Yarrowia lipolytica: one gene and its partner. The protein of the gene in region 1 purifies or fractionates together with the protein of each later gene. This does not show direct contact. Links are inferred from orthologs where the notes say so. Each region holds a gene or a part of one and is shown on either strand. Other genes may lie near its edges.

What was found. Proteins that work in one complex are often made in the same cells at the same time.
Region 2: the proteins of YALI1_F19106g (region 1) and YALI1_D24941g purify together in Saccharomyces cerevisiae (affinity purification with mass spectrometry; 3 studies listed by BioGRID, with this or other methods). This does not show direct contact. The link is inferred for Yarrowia lipolytica from reciprocal best matches to the Saccharomyces cerevisiae genes NOP15 and LOC1.

The regions. Positions count from the first base shown.
Region 1 is NC_090775.1:1,908,874-1,912,073, reverse strand, and holds YALI1_F19106g (uncharacterized protein), read right to left. Parts: upstream 1,471-3,200; coding exon 643-1,470; downstream 1-642. Other genes in the region: YALI1_F19126g (uncharacterized protein), read left to right, coding at 1-327; YALI1_F19090g (uncharacterized protein), read right to left, coding at 1,902-3,011. UniProt on the Saccharomyces cerevisiae protein: Involved in the biogenesis of the 60S ribosomal subunit. Required for pre-rRNA processing and cytokinesis. Associates with the precursors of the 25S and 5.8S rRNAs.
Region 2 is NC_090773.1:2,492,049-2,495,237, reverse strand, and holds YALI1_D24941g (uncharacterized protein), read right to left. Parts: upstream 1,156-3,189; coding exon 565-1,155; downstream 1-564. Other genes in the region: YALI1_D24918g (uncharacterized protein), read right to left, coding at 1,359-3,189. UniProt on the Saccharomyces cerevisiae protein: Required for efficient assembly and nuclear export of the 60S ribosomal subunit. Involved in asymmetric localization of ASH1 mRNA.

The DNA of each region.
Region 1 (3,200 bases):
CTGTCGCTCTATGCCAACTCACGACAGGCACCCGTGGTTCAACAGCAGCAGCAGCAGCAGCAGTTTCAACAGCAGCAGTTCCAAGCTCAGCAGCAATTCCAACAGCAGCAACCACAGTTCCAGCAGCAACAGGGAGGGGACTTTGGAGGTTTTGGAAACATGCAGCAACAGACCAACAGCGGTTTTGGGAACATGCAACAGGCTAACAGCGGATTTGGCGGGTTTGGTGGAGCTCCTCAGCAGCAGAACAACGCTCACAACGACTGGGCCGATGCCGCCGCTCCCAAGAAGCAGGAGGATGACGTTTTTGCCAACGTCTGGAAATAATAATTTTAATACACTTAGCTAATAATTAGATATCGGTCATAGATCCATCAACCGTGAGCATTGAGCAGACCAATCCAGTAGCACCAAGCATCGAACAAAGGAGCCAGAGTAACGATAACTTGCGACATACGAATTACGTATCTACGCTCAAGACTGACTGTCCATGATTCCAACTACAAGATATAAAGCTCATTATTAATATTACAGGTTTATTAGACCTAACTAGTAGTAATATGTTTCCCCATAAATATACGAGACATGCAACAATAAGATAATTCCGACTCCAAGATCCAACATGAGACTTTTCTTTCTAAACTAAGCCAGAGAAGTTCTCTGCTTCTTCTTCTTTGCACCCTCGGCGACTCCGGCAGCAGCCTTCTTGGGCACTCGGACGTCAGAGACGGGGGTGTACTTGTAATCGATACCCATCTCACCAAGCTTCTTCAGCTTGGCATCGAGCAGAGATGCAGACTCTTTCTTGAGCTGGTCCCACTTTGCTCGGGATCGGGGTCTCTCATTCTTGTACTGAGCAACCTGAGCTCTTGGCAGGACTCGGAAAGTCTTGTTAGCTCCCTCAAAGAGAGCCTCGTGAACCTCATCGTCAGGAACAACCTTGCATTTAAGAATGTGGCCGAAGAGCAGGTAGTTGTTCATGGTCTCGGCAGCTACCTGGGCCACCTCCTTGGACTCGAACTCGATGAAGGCGTAATGCTTGGAGGCACCGGTAGTCTTGTTTCTGGAAAGACGCAGTCGAGAAATATCACCAAACTGGCTGAAATATGAGTGCATCTGCTCCTCGTAGAAACCATGGGGGATTCGACCCAGATAGATGACGCCGGTTCCAGACTTTTTGGATGCCTTTGTGGTAGCAGCAGCTCGATTGGACTTGGCTACTGCGGTCTTCTTGACGGTAGCAGGGGTATCATCCATAGTCTCATCCTCGTCATCTCCATTCTCAAACTCCTCTTCGTCGTCACTACTCTCAAATCCAGCCTCATCCTGTTCCTCGTCCTCCGAGGAAGAGAATTTGGAGAAATCGTCGGAGGTGGCGGGAGCAGCGACCTTAGTGGCGGTCTTAGACACTCCAACCTTCTTGGTTCCGTTGGAGGACTTGAGGCCCTTTTTTAATGCACTGGACTTCATGGTTGTGTTTGTGTGTATGAGAGAGGAAATCTGCACCTGTTACCTCACACAAAATATTTTTTTTTTACTGCTGGGACAGAATTTTTGCATAAGCTTCAATGCCGAAGCTTATCTGCAGCTGTGATACATTAAGAGTGAAGAGGCTGACTAAGCAATAAGGGTCATTATAGAGAGGAAAACAATAATGATGACAAAGATACTCGTACACTGTTACTCGTGTATTCACGACATCAACGATATGCCTCAGGGATGCTCCCGGATGATATGACTTATCAATAGCAGAAGTAACACTACAGGGAAACTAAAAATATATATACGCTACCACGTACACGAAAAACTATGAAATCAAAGCTACGATGGCAACATAATTTTGGTCTATTACTACCACGGATGGTGGATAAATTACTTTATAGAAGTACTCGTCGAGACTCTTACTTCTGGGCAGGGGGGGCGCCACCAGCGGTGGGGAGACCAACAATACCCTTGAAAGAGTCGTAGATGAGCCACTGGAGACCAGTGAGGGTACCGACCATGACGATTCGGACACCGAGACCGTTCCAGAGACCACCGAAGCCAATCTTCTTGTAGATTCGGGAGACGGCCTGGCCGGTGGACTCACCGGGCTGCTTCTCGGAGTTAATCTTGGAGACCATAACATCAGCGGGGTGGGAGACAATAGCACAGAAGACACCAGCAATGTAACCACCGAGGAAGGAGACACCAGTCTGGGCAAGGAAGGAGTAGTCCTTCTTGGGGTAGGGCAGGTAAGAGTAGATGAGCTCAACGGTTCGCTCGAAAGTAGCGAACTTAACCATGGTGTAGGGAACCTGTCGGGCCCAGAGGGGGGTAAGACCCTTGTAGAGGCCGGCAACACCCTCAGCGGCGACCATCTTCTTCATACCATCGAAAGCACCGGTAGCGAAGGGGGGGATGGTGGTCTGGGTCTTGACCTTGACGGCCTCCCAGGGACAGAGCAGAATATCAGCGAGAACCTCAGCGGAGGCGGAGGCAGCGAGGTAGACAAAGGTCTTGTACTTCTCGGCGTTCTCGGCGCCAACGAAGTCACCGTACTTCTTCTTGAACAGCTCGTAGAAACCGTACTTACCAGCACCCTGGAGAGAGTAACCGATAAGAGTGGCACCGACACCGGTCCAGATACCACCCATACCCTCAGAGGCAATGATGGATCTCCAGGCCTGCATGTTGGAGGAGTAGAGAGCGGGGTTCACCTGTCGTCGGCACTTGACGAGATCAAGAGGGGTGACGAGAGCGTGGGTAACACCACAGGCGAGCATACCACCGGCAACACAGGTGGCGTAGAACTCAGGGGAGTAGAGCTTGATGCCCTTGGCCTTCTGGGCCTTGATGGCATCGCCGGCCTTAGCGACCTCGGCCTTAGCATCAGAGACGAGAGCGTCAGCCTTCTTCTCGACCTTCTCGACGGTCTTGTCGAGAGAAGATCGGACGTTGAAAGCACCAGCACGGGCGCCGTTGGGGTCGAAGGAGGCCTGAATGGCGGAAACAGATGGGAAGAGAGCCATTGTGGTGATTTGATTCAGACTACTGATGGAGAAAAGGAAAACCCGGGAGGAAGGGATGACGAGAAAATAGGAAAAGCTGGAACCCTAAATTTGACCCAATAACAACGCGAGTTGAATTTACCTTGTCCAATCCAGAGCTTATTTTCAGCAAATCGGTAGTTGCACACAGGGAAAGAGACCACGCGGACC
Region 2 (3,189 bases), on another chromosome or scaffold:
AGTGACTGCAGTATGTACTTGTAGCTCAGAATTTTTATATATACAAGTACAAACTGTAGCAAGTGTATACTTGTGTAAGCTGAGAACACCTGGTTAAACAGTTGTTGCCAATAGTATATACAGCCTTAGGAAGTATTGATGTATTGATGTAAAAAAAAATAGAGTACAAGTACAAGTACTCCCACTTGTACTTGTACTTGTACAGTTGATTCATATATACTACAGATATCCCATCCAACAACTCGTTGATTACTCTATATACCCGTTCCACCTTCAAGATCAAATTGTTGTTCATATGTATGATTGATTAGATATAGTCAATGGAACGCCTTACAGCCCACTTCTGAGAACACCACGTCCGAGAGTAGCACAAACCAGAAGGGTGTGGGCTTGCTCATTCGTCAGAAAGAGATTCTGACAGACATCTCGTCAATTACCGTCAATTACCTTCAAACTTCAAAAGATGCTGTACCTCTTGAAATACTCCCGGAATCACAACTACCGTCCTCGTCTCCCCTCATCCCTCCAGATAAACAAATGCATATAGTATATACCTCCCGATAATTAAGCAAAGCTGACGCTCTTCTTCTTGGAATTTCCCTTGCCCTCCTCCTTCTTCTTGAGCTCCTCCATCTTCTTCTGCACTTTGTCAGCACTCTTGCCTCGGCTGGTCTTTTTGATTTCCTTCTTCTTCTGCTCGATCTCGGCCTCCTTCTCAGCCTCTCGCTTCTCAATCTCCTTTCGCTTCTGCTCTCGGATCATCTCCAGCTGACGGGCCTTTTCCAGCTTACTGGCGTTTCGAGAGTCAATCTTCTCGTTGACAATGCTAACTAACAGGTTCATTTGGTCGTTATCCACAAACTTCTTGCCCTTCTTGCCTCTCAGTGCCTTCTTGGCTCCCTCGGGATCGATGGCCGTGTTCAATTTGGGGATTCCCAGTTCCTTTTCTGTGTACACTCGGGCCTTCTTGACCTTGGGCTTGCCGTTGTCTTTGGGCTTGGCCACCCGGTTCTTGAACTTGCGGGGCTGCTCGTTGGCGTTGTCGTAGTTTTTCGAGGTGTGTGCGAGCTGGTTTCGAGCCTTTTTGTCGCCGAAAACCTCACTCTTGACCTCTCGCGCGCCGGCGTTCTCCTTTCGAAATCGTTTGGGGACCATGGCGTGTGTATGAGATGTATAGGTCTGGTGCTCTGGTCGAGAATCGAAATCTACGGCTCGTGCATGCACAATTTTTTTAAGGTTGGAATAATTTTATGAAGATAATGTATGTGGCGTGAAGAGTTTGTGTGTTCAATTCCGATAGATGCGATTAAAGAAATTTACTTTGTAATTATGTCAATTGGTAAACCAAGACCAATCTGCTAGTCTAGATACCAAGCGTAGACGGTATGGCAACCGCCCTCGATCCCCTTGACATACGCCCATCCTTCGTCCATCTCGAGATTCAACAGATTCACATTGACACCATTGACAGTCATCTTCAGCTGCTTACCGAGAATGAGAGGGACACAAATTTCGCCAATAGTCCCTGGAGTAGACTTTACTGCAATCTGGAGCAGGTTCTTCGAGTCCCGCTTCCACCCTCCAACGAGATACCCTGTCTTGGCCGAAGTAAACCCAGTAATGCAGAAATCCAAATCAGCCAGAGTAGGCTGAAGAGTCCAGGTCACGTGGTTGGGGTTGGTGAAGCGCAGTCCACAGATTTTGTAGCTGAGAAAGCTCGTGGGACCTGTAGACCAGGGGTGGCTGTGGCTGATGTAGCTGCTGTCATGCTTATCGGACGGATAAGAGCAGGTTCCGTCCTTATAGAAGCCCTCCACAAGACTGGATTTGACACTCCAGGGCGCAGACAGAGCGTAAGACCAGGTCTGGCGAATAAGAGCTAGTGCTCTAAGGGTTCTTCCAGCTTGGTGATGAGCCATAACCTCAATACCACTGATAAATGTGCTGATCATGCCGTTACTCTCAGGGTTGATAGGTCCAAATTGGTTCCAACGAGCAAAGAGCCTCTCAGAAACAGTCTTTGACCGTTCACCATCACACACCCCATAGTAAATTACCAGGCAGTTGCCATCTTGGGGGTAGAGTGTTGACGAGAGGTTATCTTTGAAGAGACCTTTCTCTGCGTCCCAGAGCAGCTCGTTGATACGCACGTGCAGACTCTCAGCGGTATTGATCCAGATAGCTAGTTGAGCTTCAGGCTCTCCCAAGAGGTTGCCAATCTCGACCGAGCACACTAAGCAGGCATAAAGAAGCACGTTCAAAGAAAGAGAATGACCCTGAAGTACAGACCGGCCCCAATCAAGACCACAAACAATCTTGGCCAGTCCGTAGTCAGAGTCGATCCAGCTCATACCCAGTTCCACTCCCTTTTTGAACGGAACCCATAATTCTCGCACTCGCTGGAAATCTCCACTGTGTTGCCACAGCTCATACAAGCCCAGTAACCCCCACAAGTGGAAGGTATCGGAGCCGTAAAGATCAGCAGGCTTGCAAGCGTAAGGAAGACGTCCATCAGGCTGTTGGCCCGCAAAAATCCAATCAATTGCAGTTGCGGTGGCAGCCGAATTGACACCTCCGAAAGCACAGTGGTAAACTGAAGTGCTAATGAGCCGATCACCAGACCAGACGCTACGGTCTCGCTTTGCACCGTCAGTAAGCACCTCCAGGCCCTGACTTACATGACCAGAATTGTCCCATCCACGAGATTTGACGACGTAGTCACTCTTGCGACCCTGGACTGACGATATGGTCGCAAGCTGGATAGTGTAAGCTCCAGCGTACCAAATTTTGTTCAGCAGAGGATCACTGGAGTGGAAAAACCCAGAGTATTTGTTGAGGGAGGCAGAAGAAGGCATCTGGGTCATTTTGCAAGACACAGATGTCACATGTGCAATGCAGTCACGGGTTTTGCTCGCTACAAACACTGTCAGGTATCTAAATGCTCCTCTCAGCTTCTCCACAGGCATTGTGTATTCGGAGATGCCTGGGTATACCTCGACAGTCACGTGGCCATCGGTGACCTTGAAGTCGACAGATTTGTCCGAGTTTCTGCCAACGAAATCGCTTGATTCGGAGAAGGCGAGTCCCAGAATTGTCTTTGAGCTTCTGGGTCCAAATTTGAGAGTGACGACGCCACAAATGTTTTGGCCGAAATCAAACGTGATGAGACTATCAGCGGAGGTAAAGAGA